Diceros bicornis minor: one gene and its partner. The protein of the gene in region 1 purifies or fractionates together with the protein of each later gene. This does not show direct contact. Links are inferred from orthologs where the notes say so. Each region holds a gene or a part of one and is shown on either strand. Other genes may lie near its edges. The genes, in order: ASB2 and RNF7.

Region 1 (8,629 bases):
AGTTGCAGAATTGAAATTAGACCCTCGAGTTCCTGACATCCGGATCTGAGATCCTTCCACTTCACCTGGTTCCCTATTCCCCTGTGACCAATGCTAAGCTTTTTACATATGGCTGACCTGTTGAGGTGGCCATAGGGGACCCCCAGGGACAGAGAGTTTGAGTTTCAATAGCACAGAGCTAAATCAAACGTCTCATTGAGCTGTGGAAGCTTTAGAACTGAAAGAGCCTTGGAAATCTTCTAGCCAAAACTCTCCTTTTGCAATGGGAAAACTAAGGCGCAGAGAGGGATAGGGACTTGGCTGAGGTCACACAGCACTCTAGCATCAGCATGGAGACTATAATCCAGGTCTCTGACTCTCAGTCCAGTGCTCTTCCCCCTTACCCGCTGGCCTGGAGCAGATGCCCTCAAACAGCAGCAGCTCGATGCTGGGCCAGGCACTGGGCACCAGCACTCCGGTCAGCGTAGCACCACATACACTGAGCCCTGCCTTGTGCCAGGTTGGGGGTAGAGTCAGATCTTGGCCCTGGAGAAGCGGAGGGGGTCACTCCTCACTGGGCAGAGCCCTTCCCCCACACTCCCGAAGGCCGACCTGGGCCCACCAGACCCTGCAGGGACCTCAGCCACAGGGAAGCAGGGACGGGGCAGGAAGCCAGGCTGGGCCAGCTGGGTGGGGACCAACCGGCTGCACAGCACCCCCTGCCAGGACGGGAGGGCCAGGGGATGGGCTCTAGACCATCCTGCCATTTAACAGATGGAAAACCCAGGGCCCAAGAGAGGAGAAGAGGTGCTGTGGCTGAGTTGGGACATGAACCCAAGTCTCTTGATTTCCAGCCTTGGGCTCTTTTCATAATAAACAAAACTGAGGTTGGTGCTACTGCTGCTGCTGCAAAAATAATAATAATGATAACACCCCAAACATCAGGCACAAAATGACTTTGAGGTCACAGTGCCCCTTTCCCCTCCCTAAAGTGGAACACAGAGCAGCCGCCAGAGTACTGATCTAGGGCAGTGGTTCTCAACCCGGCTACACACTCACATCGCCGGGGAAGCCTTCAACACAGCAGTGCCTGGGCCTCACCCCTGGAGACTGTGAGCTCATGGTCTTGGGGGGACATGTTTTCAAGACTCTCTGCCAGGCCTGAGAACCATGTGTTAATATGATTTTGACTGCATATAACAGAAAACCCCACTAACAATGACTCAAACCATAAGGATCTTCAGTCTTTACTTAACAAGCAGGCCCTGGTGGGCAGACCCAGCATTGGTTCGGCCGCTCAACAATATAATGAAGGACCCAGAAGACCTATCATTCACTCTGTCAAACTCATTGTATCAACACTGTCCCCCTCATGGTTACAAGATGGCTGCTGCTGCTCCAAGCATCAAGTCCTCCAAGCACAAAGCAGGAGTGTGGGCACAGAGTCACTTCTTCACTGCTTTCTCTTTTATTAGGAAAGGGAAAGTCCTTCTTAGGAGACCCCAGCAGAATTTCCTTTATGTCTCTTCGGACAAAACTACGCTATATGTCCACTCCTAAACTAGTCACTGGCCAAGGGATAAGATTGTCCCAACTGACCATGGGAGAGAGCACACTGTTGCCTGAACAAAGCCAGGTTCTGCTGGCAGAGAAGATGGGGGAAATGGCTGTTGGGTGGGCCATCAAGAGGGTCTGCCACACCCTACCATATGGAGACATTTGGCCACCAGTGCAGTTGACTTTAACTGGGCATTCTCTTTGCATAAGACACTGGCCTTGGTGAAGAGGATCTTGGGTCATGTCCACACATGGACTACTGACCACAGCCCAGAGGGAGAAGTTCTAGCATCGAAACACTTCTTAGAAGAATCTGGGTAGGCTTCCCGGAAGAGGAAGCACTTGCTCTGGGCCTTGAGGGATGAGAAGGAGTTCTAAGAGTGCAGGAGGGAGGGAGATGTGTCAGGCACAGCCCAAGCAAGGGCACTGGAGTGGGAACCGCAGGCGGGTTGGGGGAAACGTGTGTCCCCGCCTTACCTGGAAGTCAGGTGTGTAAAGGAAGAGGGTGAAGGGAGGGCGAAGACTAGATTTCGAAGGGCAAAACCACTGTGGTATTTGGTAAATTGATGGTATTTGCTAAAGGAAAACATACACATTTGTTTAATGGTAACAACTCTCCTTTGCTATTTGCTAGGGCTTCATAGAGCAACAGTTGTTACTCTTAGGGTGGTAACAGGAATTGGAAAAAAGAATATCTACCAAGAGCTCGGTGTCAGGTGCCACCCCTCATCCCCTCCCCCCATGGCTGTCCCGCCTCTATTTGTACTTTATGGCTGGTCATTCTCCAAAGTGGTGGTTCCCGACCACCTGGGGGGCTCTTCAGAGAAGTATGATACCGGCCCCACTCCCAGAGATCCTGACTTAATTGGTCAGAGGTGGGGCCCAAACACTGATACTGTTTAGAGCTGATTTTATACACTTTTTAAGTAGCTATGTTTGCAGTATAGGTGCTCACAGAGAAGTCTACAAGCCAAACTTGAGCAGCTCCTGGGAGTCTCACAAAGGGAACCAACCAGCCGTGTAACGACTTAGTTCAAGAAACACAGCATGGGGACCAGCCCAGTGGTGTGGCGGTTAAGATCGCATGCTCCGCTTTGCTGGCCCAGGGTTTGCCGGTTCGGATCCTGGGCACAGACCGACGCACTGCTTATCAAGCCACGCTGTGGAGGCATCCCATATACAAAATAGAGGAAGGTGGGCACAGATGTTAGCTCAGGACCAATCTTGCTGAGCAAAAAGAGGAAGATTGGCAACGGATGTTAGCTCAGGGCCAAGCTTCCTCACCAAAAAGAGAAGCACAGCATGACCGGCTCCCTGGAATCTCCCTCCTGTCTCCCCTCAAAGGGAACCACTGTTCTGACTTCTATCAGCACAGTTTAGTTTTGCCTGTTCTTGAACTTTGTATAAATGGAATTGAGTATACATGTTCCTCATTATCTGACCTGCTCACTGTGGTTGGTGACATGCATCCTGTTGTGTGTAGTGGCTGTTTGTCACTTTCACTAGAGCATGCTAATCATCCCGTGAATACACCACAACGTAGTCATCCACGAGAGACATTGAGGAGTGTCCGTTTGGGTTTACCATGAATGGCGCCGTTATGATTCTTGAACTTACCCTTTGGTGAGCATATGTACACAATTCTTTTGGGCGTAGAGCTAAGGGTGGGCGCTTGGGTCACAGGGCATGTGCATGTTAGCTTTAGCGAATGCCATTCATTTTCCAAAGCGGTTTTACCGTTTCACACTCCTACCAACGGTGCTGAGCAGTCTGATCGCTCGCATCCTCCCCAGCTCTTTCTAGTTCCCGTCTTTTTCACTTGAGCCGTTCTGGTGGGTGTATAGTGGTATTGCGTGGGGGTCTTAATTTGAATTTCCCCCGGACACTTACGAAGTTAAGCGCCCTTCCATTTGGTTATTGGCCATTTGGATGTCCTCTTTGTGAAGTACTTGGCCGAATCTTTGGGGTATCAGTTAACTAGAGCCACAGGAATGCTACATAAAAAGCACCCCAAATAACCATCTACTCTTGTGCTTTGGGTCTGCAAGACTGCAGACAGGCTAATCGAGGCCAGCCCAGGCTGCTCTGCTCAGCTTCGGGCTGCAGGCCCTGCCGGGTGGGGCTCCTCTGTGCAAGCTGGACTCTGTGAACTGCCCCAGGGGGGTTTACTCCGGGGTGCAGCTAAAGGGCAGTGGCTGCAGGAGGAGCTCTGCTCTGGCGATGACGGGAAAGCCAGCCCCACTGCACAAGCCCATGTCAAGTGGCTGCTTTGTCATGTCCACCAACAGTTACCGGCCGGAGCAAGTCACAAGGCCAAGTCTAATCTCAGTGAGTAAGGGGGCGGGGCACTCTGCCTCCAGGGGGAAGGGGTGAATATTTGCCGAACAAACCAAATTATAGCACTGACATTTTGGATATATATATATATTTTTTGGTGAGGAAGATTAGCCCTAAGCTAACATCTGTTGCCAATCCTCCTCTTTTTGCTGAGGAAGACTGACCCTGGGCTAACATCCGTGCCCATCTTCCTCTACTGTATATGGGACGCCGCCACAGCATGGCTTGATGAGTGGTGCATAGGTCCGCACCCAGGATCCGAACCTGCAAACCCTGGGCCACCAAAGTGGAGCATGCAAACTTGACCACTACACCACTGGGCCAGACCCACATTTTGGATATTTTTAAAAAGACCTCATATGATTGTAATGTTCAGCCAGGGCTAAGAACCATTGACCTATAGTCACATCATGTGTCAGCTTAGTTGAGGAAAAGAAAATCAGGCTTAGTTGATTTCCTAAGAGCAGTTGATTCAACCAAAGTCCGTTTCTCCTTGAGGCATTTTTTTTTTTTTTCCAGAAGAGAGTCCCTGGAATTAACATGGCAAATTATTTTAATAATTGATTTTAACTAGGTCATGCAATCTTAAGTAGCGGGCCTGTGTCCGATTCATCTCTAGTATTCTCAGCCCTAGGACAGTGCAGAGAAATGGAGAAGTGCCGGGACAGATGGGATGTTGTCGGATAATTAGAAGGGAGGAATGTAAGCACCATTGTGTAAGCTCCAGGAGGGCAGAGATTTTTGTCTGTTGGGATCATTGTTGTATCATAGCGCTTGGAAGAGTGCCTGACACAAAATAGGTGCTCAATAAATAATCTCTCATTTAATGATGCATGCATACACGTATAGATAGGCCGTGTGGATTGGAAAAATGAATTGTGGATGGTTTGTTGGATAGATAAATGTATAGATGGATGGATGGGAGGATGGGTGGATAAATGGAAGCATAGATGGGCAGATAGATCAGAGGATGGATAATGGAGGAATGGGTGGATGGTTAGATGATAGATACGTGAGTGGCTGGCTAGGAGCGTGGATGGTTGAATGGATGGATGATTAGATAGTTGGATAAATGGATGGATAAGTGGACAGATGGGAGGGTGGATGGATATATGAGTGGCTGGATAGACAGACGGATGCATGGGAGGATGAATAAATGGACAGATGGGTGGCTGGTTGGATGGATGGTTAGATAGGTGGGTGGACTGGTGAATAGATGAGTGGATGGGTGGATGGATATGTAGATGAATGGGTGGTTGACTTGATCATATGACAAAATAAATGGATAAAAAATGATTGCGTGATTGCCAGAAGAGAGCACAGCCTTCCCCGTGGGTAAACATAGCTATGTTGCAAAACTGTTAGTGACCAGGATGGTTTTGGTCTCCTCACAGGGTTTTCTGATTTGCAGTTTCCTCCTCCCCTCTGAGTGTCTCTCCTGGAGGCTGGGCTGAGAAGTGGAGGAGGATGGCCACTGAGATCCGTGCTCGGGGCGGACAGCGTACCATTGGGCACGAGGAGTACAGCCTGTACAGCAGCCTGAGTGAGGATGAGCTGGTCCAGATGGCCATCGAGCAGAGCCTGGATGACAAGACTCGGGGCCCTGCCACTGCTGAAGCCACTGTGTCCACACGTGCCAATCGCCAACCTGCCCATTTCTACCCATGGACCAGGTGAGCGAGGAGAAACCAGCTGGGTCATCCATCAGGTGCAGATCCCAAACACTGTTAATCCAAGGCCAAATTATCGTGATCTCTAGGCTGCACTTTAACACCTTAATGACTTACATTTGTTATCTGAACGTACTGAGCTCTGATGGTGCCAAGTGCTGTGTGCTAATCCTGTTAAGGACCTTCTAGGAGGCTCTATGCTATATTCCCATTTTACAGATGAGGAAACTGAAGCTCAGGGCTGAGTAACTAGTTCAAGGTCACACAGCTAGTAGATGGTGTTGCAGAGATTGGAACTATCTGGGTCCAAAGCCCGTGGCTTGGCCTGCACAGCTGACTCAATGTTTGAATACAGTAAAACCAATGTTCTGAGTCTGACCAGAGCTTCCAACCCCGTCTATGCAGCCTCTCTGGGACAACACATCTGAGAAGCAAACGACAGCTACCCAGCAGAGCCATCCTGCCTCCTTGTTCTGGCTCCCCCATCTCAGCATGACCATCCCAGATGCAGGACCATCTAGAGCAGCACCACGTCGCGCCAATAGAAATACGGCGTGAGCCACAACTGCGGCGACACTTATGCAGCTGTGAACATCCTAGTAGCCACATTACAAAGTAAAGAGGAAGAGGGGAAATTAATTTGTGTCTAAAATATTATCATTTCCACACATCACCGATATAAAAATTGTGAAGGAGATTTTCACATTCTTTTTTACATGTCAAGGCTTTGGAATCCACTGTGTATTTTGCACTCACAGCGCCTCTCCATTCAGACTAGCCACATCTCAAGGGCTCACTAGCCATATGTGGCCAGTGGCTGCCGTACTGGACAGCACAGACCTAGAGGACACCTTCTCTGTAGGAGGTGGAGCCAGAGAGGTAATTAGGTCTTGGATCTTAAAATGCTTTTAGAAAAGAAATATACACATTTTAAAAATGTTTCTGCTCACCAGTGAGTCCAAGTCAAGTGTGTATTTTGGGGTTGGTGGAAGGGGCTTGGGAATTGCTGTGACAGTTGTGTTGGTGTTACCTTGGGGCATGGGCCTCAAATCTCATTGTCTCCAGCAGCCAGCTGACTCCCTGTGTGACCTTGGGCAAGTCACTTAACCTCTCTGAATCTCAGCTTCCTTCTCTAATAATAATAATAGTAACAACAGCAGCAACAATAAATAGACTTTTTCCAATGTCCAGTCCCAGTTGACAGGGATGAAGGTGGGTGACAGTCCGTCTCAGCCCTGATGAAACCTACCAGGGCGCTTCCCAGGTGACTTTGGCCCTTACTGAGGCTGGACCACCTCTGCCGGGCAGGCTGGGCAAAGGCCTGGGAGGCCCAGCCCTGAGGAGCTCCTTCTAAAGGGGAAGGCAGGCAGCCTCCTCGGGCAGCTGGAGGGAGTGTGAGGCTCCAGGTTACTGAGCTGCCCCAGAGGACGCCCCATTCTGCGACCCAACCAGAAAAACAGGAGCCCAGAGCCGAGGACTCCTCATGGGGGTGCTCTCGGAGGCCTTGGTTCCTGTTCTGGCCAGTTCAGCCAGAGTCAGACCACAGGTTCCCCTTTCTCAGTAGGGCATCAGATAGAGAGAGAGCACCCTCCCACCTACTGGGCCTGCAGCACAAGCCGGCACGTCCCGGGGCGTCTGCAGCCTTCTCCCCAGCATGGGGGCCCCACCCAGGTGTCCCAGGGACACTTAACATCCTTAGAACTGAAGGGGCTCTTGAGGTTGGGTCCTGACCCCCTCCTTCCTCTAGAGGGTAGGGAAGCAGAGACCCACTGTGGGACATAAACGTTCACCCAGTCTCCTAAAAAAAAAGCTCTCACAGAGGGGCTGGCCCGGTGGCGCAGCGGTTAAGTTCACACTTTCCGCTTTGGTGGCCTGGGGCTTGCGGGTTCAGATCCTGGGTGTGGGCCTACTCACCGCTCATCGAGCCAGGCTGAGGCGGTGTCCCACATAGAAGAACTAGAAGGACGTACAACTAGGATATACAACTATGTACTAGGGGCTTTGGGGAGGAAAAAAACCTCTCACAGAGAAGTGAAATGACTTAGCCAAGGTCAAGTGGCCCTCACCTAAGATCCAGGCACAAGTAATGTAGGGGAGAAGGATTCGGCCTTCATCTCACCCTTGATGTGACCTCAAACCTCCTAGGTTTGGTTCTGCCCCTTTGTCTCTGGAAGGAGGCTGGGCTTGGGCCCTGCTGGGGAAGTAAATCCCTTTACTCTGATTTTTGTGTGTGCTTGTGTGAGGAGGACTAGCCCTGAGCTAACATCTGATGCCAGTCCTCCTCTTTTTGCTGAGGAAGATTGGCCCTGGGCTAACACCTGTGCCCATCTTCCTCTACTTTATGTGAGACGCCGCCACAGCATGGCTTGACAGGTGGTGCGTTGGTGCGCACCTGGGATCCAAACCTGCGAACCCCGGGCCTCCAAAGCAGAGTGCACACACTTAACCGGTGCACCACCGGGCGGGCCCCCATTACTCTGACTTTTAACGTAATTCTCCTCCTCCTGCCCTGAATGCACACTGAGTGCTTCCCACGTGCCTGGCACACAGCCATTCAGTGATCCTTACGAAAGCCACACAAGCTGGATATTTCTGTGCCCGCTTTACATATGACAAAACATGCGCACAGTAGGACCAGGAACTGAACCACAGTCTGGCCTGATCTGAAGTTCAGACGTGTCACCAGCTCTGCCGATTCTGCAAAAGCCTCTTCTGTTTCCTCTCCCTCCTCCACCTTGAAGTGGGGTCGGTCTCACTACACCCGCCTCCCACCCACAGAGACTCAGGGTCCCCAGAGACATGAGACACACAGGCTTGTGCCTGACACCAGACAGGGCATCACAGTACGTGCAGGACCCGACAGAGTCCTTGTTTGCTTCTATCCCTGAATGTCACAGTTTCCATCCAAATAGACTCAGAGCAGGTGTAGGAACAGGATGTCACACATGTCCCCAGAGGTCCCACATGGTTGGCTCCTTCTCATCCTTCAGGTCTCAGATGAACTGTCACCTCTGCAGCAAACCCTGCCTGACCACCCTCCCAGGTCAAGTAGGTCGCCCCTCTTATCCCTCTCTGGGCTGTTTGCT
Region 2 (8,794 bases), on another chromosome or scaffold:
TCTATTTCCATGGCCAACCACACATACCTGGAAAGATATTGCTTGCTCTGTAATAATATTTTTCACTGTAACCAAGCCCCTTTCAAGTTCTAAAATTTGATAAAACTATCTTATGAAAGGTCAGAGCAGTGTTAATCCTATCATGCTTGTCAACTTCTAAAATGTGAGTTTCACAAGTAGGCCTTAGAAAAAATAGGTGGGATTCTTTGGGGCTTCTTCTCTTGTACATGTGAAATTTATAATTTGAAGAAAGTCAGAATCTTTATCTAAGAAAGAGAGACTCTTCTTTCATAAATATATCCATAGTTGGAAACAATAGGAATGTTTGGAAATAATAACCACTTTCTAAAAGACAATATCCCCCAAAATGGGGATCTTCCCCAAATAAGGAAACTTCTGATCACTCTACCCACCCCCACCAATGAAGATGTTAGACAGAAAGGGAAGAAGTGAGGTTGATCTATGTGTGGATGATAAATTGGATTAGTGGAATTTTATGTGCCATGACAATATGGTGCAGGGATGAAAATGAAAAGCGTGGACTGGGGAGTTAGATGAACCAGAATTCTCTGTGGAAACCAGCTGCTTTCCAAGTGTGTAACTTTGGGCAAGTCAATTAACCTCATTGTGCTTCAGTTTCCCTTTATGTAAGATACAGACAAGAATACCATCTATGGAGGGCCGGCCTGGTGGCGCAAGTGGTTAAGTGTGCCCACTCTGCTGCGGCCGCCCGGGGGTCGCTGGTTTGGATCCCGGGCGCACACCGACTCACCGCTTGTCAAGCCATGCTGTGGCGGCGTCCCATATAAAGTGGAGGGAGATGGGCATGGATATTAGCCCAGGGCCAGTCTTCCTCAGCAAAAAGAGGAGGATTGGCAGATGTTAGCTCAGGGCTGATCTTCCTCACCAAAAAAAAAAAAAAAAAAAAAAAAAGCATCTATCTCATTTGGTGAACATTAAATGAGAGGACACGTGGCAAGCATCTTAGGACAATACTTGTTTCTTAGTACATGCTCTCAAATGAATGTTAGTGGCTCTTACTACTGCTGTTATTATTGTTGATGTTAGAATTGAGTGATTCCAGTTATTTCACTTAGGACAGCTACATAAGAAAAATAGAAAAGAATAAAAAAAGGGAGACTTAAGACCTCTGCATTTTGAAGTTAAAAAAAAACAAACATTCATTCTATGTACAGGTGTAACAAGTGCTGGCAAGTTCGTGGAACCAAACCAACTGTGGAATAAATTATGTCTCCTCTTGAGGATCTTAGCATCTAGCAAGGAAGACAAGATCCTCATACATTAAAAGTAAACAACAATGGAGCATAAGAGTTGAAATAATATGTCATTAACCAGGGTAAGGAAGGTTATAGAGTAGTGAGATCAATTTAACAAATCTCCAGAACTTAAATATCCATTGTGTGAGGCCTCCTGAGAAATTATTCCTGATTTAAAAAAAAAAATTGAGGGGCCAGCCCCATGGCATATTGGTTAAGTTCACACACCCTGCTTGGTGGCCTGGGGTTCGCAGGTTTGGAACCCAGGCGTGGACCTACACACCGCTCATCAAGCCATGCTGTGGCAGCATCCCACATAAAAAATGGGCACAGGTGTTAACTCAGGGCCAATCTTCCTCCCTCCACTCCCCCAAAAAAATTGAAATTTGCCACTGACATCTACTGGATGAGAGTGTAAAATCTATATGCCTCTTTAGGGGTCTTTTCGCAATGTCTATCAAAATGAAAAATACATAGCTTTTGACCCAGATATTCTACTTCTAGAAATTTATTTTACAGATATACTCTCACACCTGTGCAAAGAAATATACATAAGGATGTTCACAGCAGCACTGTTTATTATACACTGGAAACAACTAAATGTCTCTCAGAGGATACTCAGGGAAATAAATCACAGAAAATATATGTAGTGGAATACTATGCAGCCATCAAGAGGAATAATGTAGATATGTAAATACTTATATGGAAAGGTAAAGTAATACTATTAAACAAAAAGAGCAGGCTAGAGAATAGTACATGTGAAAAATTCATATTAAAAGTGAATTGATGTAATATGAGCCAGAAATTTCACTTCTTCTTTTTTTTTTTTGTGAGGAAGATCAGCCCTGAGCTAACATCCATGCTAATCCTCCTCTTTTTGCTGAGGAAGACCGGCTCTGAGCTAACATCTATTGCCAACCTTCCTCCTTTTTTTGCCCCAAAGCCCCAGTAGATAGTTGTATGTCATAGTTGCACGTCCTTCTAGTTGCTGTATGTGGGACGCTGCCTCAGCATGGCCGGAGAAGCGGTGCGTTGGTGCGCGCCCGGGATCCGAACCCGGGCCGCCAGTAGTGGAGCGCATGCTTAACCGCTAAGCCACGGGGCCGGCCTGCAATTTCACTTCTGAGTATATACACAAAAGAATTGAAAGCAGGATCATGAAGAGATATTTGTACACCCATGTTCATAGCAGCGTTATTCACAATAGTCAAAGGTGGAAGCAACCTAAATGAATGGATAAGGAAAATATGGTATATACACACAATGGAATATTATTCAGCTTTAAAAAGGAAGGAAATTCTGACATATGCTACATGGATGAACCTTGAGGACATTATGCTAAGTGAAATAAACCAGTCACAAAAAGACAAATACTGTATGATTCCGCTTATATGGGATATTTAAAGTAGTCAAACTGAGAAACAGAAAGTAGAATGGTGGATGCCAGGGGGAGGAGAGGGAAATGGAGAGTTGTTTAATGGGTATGGAGTTTCAGTTTTGGAAGATGAAAAAGTTCTGGAGATTGATTGCATAACAGTGTGAATGTACTTAATACCATTGAACTGTACACTTAAAAATGGTCAGGATGGTAGACTTTATGTTATGTGTATTTTACCACAATTAAAAATTTTAAAAATGAGCTGATGTATTAAGTGTCTGCTTGCACATATATAGGAATTTCTGGAGAGTCTATTAACAGTACTTGCTTTTTTTCATTGTATACCCATTTTACTATTTTAATGTTTTTATCATTTATGAGCTCTCAATTTTAAAAACTTAAAATTGTTCAATAAACAGCAGTAACAGCATTTTTTGGTTGCTATGTGACCTGGTGCCAAAGAGTAAAAGAGACACAGTAAGTGCTATTATTTCATGGAAGGATATGAATAAATGGTGGCAAAGAGTGGTCGGTGAGGACACAAAGGTGTGTAAGTTTTCCTAAATGCAGAGGGCAATTTCAGAAATGTTAAAATGTGAGGGGAAAAAAAAAAAAGACCGCAGGGTGTGTTTGGATGACTGAGCAGACCAATTTGATGAGGGTCTTGGATAGCGGTGCTTGGGGAAGACGCTAGAAAAGTAGGGTTGGGGCCATATTGTGGCAGGATTTAAATGACCAACTGGGTCATTTAGATTTTTTTCTGACAATAACGTGGGGCTGTGGAATGTTCTGAGCAGGAGAGTGCCAGGTGGAAAATGGGATATAGGAAAATTAAACAGGCACGTTAGATTGAAAGCCAGTTAGACTGCGGGGGAGAGACAGGAAGGAAGTCAGGACACAATAATCCAGGGGCAGGGTGATGAGGCTCAGACTCGGCCCAGCCATGTACCATTTCTCCTCCTTAACCATCCTCTAGTCTTTCATCCTTTCATCTGAGTTTCCCTCCTTTTCTATTTCAAACTGCCCAGTTCCCACCAGCTGGGTGCATTTTATCCTCATCTGGTTCCAGCCTTCTTTTTGTATGAGCTATCTAGCATGTAGAGCCATCTCTAGTCAGATGTGTGGTCACTTAATATGAATAAAATGTGTGTTTTGTATGGTTCATCTGGGTTTGTTTATAGGCGTTTTTGTCTGGCTCACAAAGTTAGTGTGGTCAGATTCACATCTGCCACCATTACCACTGCTCTGCACAGGCTGACAGCTCGTAGAGGTTTGCTTTCTTCACTCGTTTCCTGGCCTCCAGGGCCTCTCACCTCCCCGCAGTTCAAACTTCACCTCTTCCTTGAGGCTTTTGCTCACTGTGTCAGTTCTCAGCAATGTCTCTGTCCCTCACAGCACTGAACACACCACTCAACAAACAGCACACATTATCATCTCGTCAAATGTGACCCTGTGTCCATATTTGTATTTTTACACATTTATGCTAGGAAGAAGGACCTTGCCACCCACTTACGAAAAAACTGGCCATGAAAACCCTGTGAATAGCAGCAGAGCATTGTCTGATATAGCGCTGGAAGGTGAGAGGATGGCGCAAAAGACCAGGCAGGGTTCCCCTCTGCTGTACACAGTGTCACTAGGAGTCAGAATTGACTCCACAGCACTAATAACAACAACACATTTATGCATCCTTGTCTCCTCTGCCAGGCTCCTTGAGCCTGGTTAGCACCTCCAGGCACAAGGCCTGGCATCAAGAGATGAGGGGATGATGAGGCCCAGCAAGAAGAGGTGGGAGGCTCTGAATTCCAAACCTGACACAGCAGGTGTCCACCACTAGGTGGTGGTGGTAATCAGGCATCTCCTTAGGCTCTCTGTGCGTCAGTTTTCTTATCTTTTAAATGGAGATGCTGTCTGCTTTGCTTGGGAAAATATAATAGGTAATATTACCCCGGGCTAGGAATAGAAGAACCCTGGCCTCAAAACTGTAACCTTCACCTAATAGCAATGTGCTCTTTAAGTTACTCACTTTTCTGGACCCCATTACTCCTACACATAAAAGGAGGAGGTTAAACTAGACCAGAGGTTCTCAGAGTGTGCTCCCCAGGGTTCCTGAGATCCCTCCTTCAAGGGACCAATGAAATCAAAACTATTTGCATAACAATATTCAGAGCTGTCTCTCTTCTCACTCTCACTCATGAATATAGTGTTTTCCAGAAGGTACATGATATGTGATGTTACTGCTCTAATGCTAATTTGTAATTGGTTTATTTCTGTTATTTTTAAATGAATGAGTACATTTAAAATTTTTCCCCCATTTTACATTTTCCTTTAAATTAAATATATATCCTACATAAACAAAAACTCTTTAAGGTCCTAAGAATTTTTAAGTGTTAAGGGGTCCTGAGACCAAAAAGTTCGAGAACCATTCAACCAGATTTCTAGAACATTCACTCAAATAATTGCGTCCCGTGAGGCAAGGCATTTTTTAGATACTGAGGATAAGGAAGTGATAAAGACAAGGTCGCTGCTCTGATGGAGTTTACATTTGGGAGGGACGAGGCAAACGAATACATTAACAAGATAATTTCTGAGAGCCGCAAGTCTCCCGAAGGCATAAAGCAGGACACGCGTTCCCCGCAGGGTGCGCCCGCTCTCCCCAGAGTGACACCGCACGCGGGCGACTCAGGCCTTCAGCCGGCAGCCGCCAGGAGGCCCTGCGGGCAGCCCCGGCGCGCGGGGCGGGGATGCGCCGGGCGCTGGCGTGCGGTGACGTCACTAGGCCGCGCCAGCCAATCGCGGGCAGCCGCTGCCGTAGGCCCCGCGGGCCTGCGGGCGGCGCTGTGGCCCGTCGGGCGGCCCCACAGAGCCGCCATAGCCGCCCTCCTCCCGCGACCCAACGTCTCGGCGGCCGGCTCCGCGCCGCCGTCATGGCCGACGTGGAAGACGGCGAGGAGCCCTGCGCCCTGTCGTCGCACTCCGGGAGCGCAGGCTCCAAGTCGGGAGGCGACAAAATGTTCTCTCTCAAGAAGTGGAACGCGGTGGCCATGTGGAGCTGGGACGTGGAGTGCGATACGTGCGCCATCTGCAGGGTCCAGGTGATGGGTAAGCGCTCACACGAGGCCCGGGCCGCGCTGCGGCCTCCGCGGAGCCGGCTCCTGGCGGGGGGCGGACGAAGCCTCGGAGAGACTCCTGCCCCGGCGCGAGCGGGCCGGGGACCACGCTGGACGGGAGGCTGCGGCCGCCGCCTGGGGGCTGCGCTTCAACAGGCGCCCGGCGCCGGGGGCTGGCGTTCTGTGGAGAGAAACGGGCAGTGGGCAGAGGAGTTAAACAGGATAATTTCAGGTAGTGACGGGTGTGATCAAGAAGATAAAACTGGGAGGCTTGGTGGGAGCTGGGAGGAACCACTTCGGTTTGTGTGGCCAGCCCCGGCAGCCCCTTCTGAAAGCAAACCGCGGAGAGGTCGGGGTGAAGGCCTTGAGTCAGCCGGGCTCGGTGATGGTTCTGCTCACACACCGGCGATGCCCCCGAGTCATCTTCCCGCAAACCACACCTCGGTTCCGCTCCTGCGAGGCGCGGGGAGCAAAAGCCTTCCCAGCCGCTGCATTTCTGGATTAGCTCCTGCTGTTCTGCTGGCTTTTAAATCCGCACGATTCAGGACGCGGCAGATGTCACTCGCTCGGCTAAGGGGGTACAGTGTGATTCAAGAATGTTTAAATTTCCTGGGAATTGAAGAATGGAAGCCCTTTATTTAGAAACACGAAACTTCTTCCCGGCCTCTCCCCATCATATCTTTCCTGAGAAAGATACTGCCCTGCTCGGCGTCGGTCCTTGACGGAGAACCCTGTTTCACAAATAAGTTTTATTTCTTTCTACGGTATTTTGAATAAAAATATTGGACCAAGGGAAACCTTTCAGAACAGCTTCATCTCGTTACGTTGTATATGGTTTCTGTTTTAAGATCTCAGATCACCTTGGAAAAGACGGGCTGTTTAAATGCAAGTTATAATTTGAAGTAAGGCATTTAAAACTAGTGAGAGCATCCTAAATGCCTTTTCTTGAGGGCAGATGAAGAAAACTGAGGTTTCTGTAGTTTTTAAACTTTGTGTCTTGTCCTAAAAAATGAGAGAATTGGAGAAAATAGCTTGAAGAGAATTGCTCTCCCTTCTCGAGGGATGAAATTTTAAACCTACCAGTATCAAGAGATTCCACAATTTACACTCTCTTTAGTTTGCTCTCTTGTGTTTTATTCATAAGGACTTGTTTCAGAAATAATTTACAACAATGGGATTCAAATATTTTTATTCTACTTTTGAGAGAACGTGATTTCTTTGAAACATGATCCACTTACTTTACATATTAGGTTTTAAAAGCACCTTCTTTATTGGCCTGCAATACAGCCCCTTTACTCCAACCCTTACTTAAGAACTAGAATCATAATTTCCAGTTTGGGTGGCATTTTTAGCTTTTCCAGGCGACTTAATCTTTTGGTCTCTTGCGAGAATGTTTATTTTTCTCTCCAAAGAAAAATTTTAAAATAGTAAGTAGAAATGCGGAATTTAAAATAATGGTTGAAATTTTGCAACAAATAAACTTTACTGGGATATTTAAAGTAAGTCAAAATATGAGCTGTCAATAGCTCACATTCACATTAACTTTCTAATTATAGCAAGTGTTCTGCTACTGTGGATTAATGTTGCAGGTGGACAACAGCTGTACTTTGGGTTCAGGAAAGTATTCTGGACTAGACCTTTGTATTTTGTTTATGAGGTGTTAAAATCCACTTAGTGGTCAGGTGACAGACGGCAGAAGGAAGTTTGTTTTTCAGACTCCCCAGCCCTTACCCTAGCATCATTCTGAAAGGTGTTACTGTTACTATACTCCTTAGAAATGTGCTCTTTTGGATATTAGAAACATCCTCAAAAGAAGCTTTTTCCTTAATCTGAAACTTTAGGTATTTTTTCCATATAAGTCAGTTTTTGATAATGAATCTAAATCAAAGCCATAAGCACCATTCAGGGATTTCTAGATTCTACAGAAAGAGCCCACTTAATCCCATTTCCTTAATATTTGGAATTCATCTCGTACACCTAAATGATTTATTATGACTTCTTGATCCAAGATTTACCTGTCAGCCCATTCTGATGTGGTTAACGCTCTCTTCCTCCGTTTCCACTCTCCTCTCTTCGTTCTGCAAGGAGCAGAGGGCACAGTGAGCAAGTGCTGATGAGGAAGAGGGGAGTGGGTTTGCTAGCACTGCCAAGTTCTGAAGAGCCAGAGTAACCAACATGGCTGCATGTTAACTTGGACATTTGACGTAACCTTTTGGAGGCTTGTTTTCCTAATTTGTAAAAGAGGCAGTTGGGATCACAAACTCGAATTCTGTGATTGCACAGAACCAGCCATGTCTCCACTGTTAGATCACGATCCTTAGGCTATTTAGTTGTTTGCCTGTCCACCTCCCCATATGCTGGTGAGACCAGGGACCCAGACTTGGCCATTTTGGTGTCCCAGTGCATAACTCCTTGTATAGAATAGATACTCAGTAATTGTGGAATTGAAGAAAGCCTCAGGAGGCAGTGGTTGTTTTTCATCCATGCTGAAGAGGCCAGGGTGGTGTGTTTTTTTAGGGTAAGGGCGTGCAGAGAGAAGCAAACAAATGCCTGAGCAGAACCCAGGGTAAGAGGAGAAGCAGGCTTCAGCTCCACCGTGGCTCTACTTTTACCTAATTATTTTTCTCCAACTTATGTTAAAAACTATTTTTTTCTGTTGGTTTGAACTTCCTTTTATCCAACTTTGATTCCTCTTCCAGCTAGTGAATGAATCTATTGCATAGCTCCCTGAAATATTCTGTTACCTCCTTCATCAAGCAAATAGTAATACAGATTGAATTTTGAAAACTTATAGTATACCCTTTAGGTTCTCATTCCTAGTGTTTACTCCCAAGTACTTTATTAAAATACTTAGCCATTGTTGGGTAAAGGCTTCGGGATCAGACTTATTTGTAAAGGGAACATTTTCTTAAGGAAAAAAGAGAACTTAGTATTTAGGAGGGTTTTTTTTTTTAATTTAATTTTTATATAGATTATACAGTCACATAATTCAAATATTTAGGCAAAAATACAATGAAAACTCCTTCCCATTC

The links.
Region 2: the proteins of ASB2 (region 1) and RNF7 purify together in Homo sapiens (affinity purification with western blotting; 3 studies listed by BioGRID and IntAct, with this or other methods). This does not show direct contact. The link is inferred for Diceros bicornis minor from reciprocal best matches to the Homo sapiens genes ASB2 and RNF7.

What each region holds. Positions count from the first base shown.
Region 1 is NC_080763.1:39,509,652-39,518,280, reverse strand, and holds the start of ASB2 (ankyrin repeat and SOCS box protein 2), read left to right. Parts: upstream 1-5,340; coding exon 5,341-5,546; intron 5,547-8,629. UniProt on the Homo sapiens protein: Substrate-recognition component of a SCF-like ECS (Elongin-Cullin-SOCS-box protein) E3 ubiquitin-protein ligase complex which mediates the ubiquitination and subsequent proteasomal degradation of target proteins.
Region 2 is NC_080741.1:11,971,981-11,980,774, reverse strand, and holds the start of RNF7 (RING-box protein 2), read left to right. Parts: upstream 1-5,544; 5' UTR 5,545-5,579; coding exon 5,580-5,754; intron 5,755-8,794. UniProt on the Homo sapiens protein: Catalytic component of multiple cullin-5-RING E3 ubiquitin-protein ligase complexes (ECS complexes), which mediate the ubiquitination and subsequent proteasomal degradation of target proteins.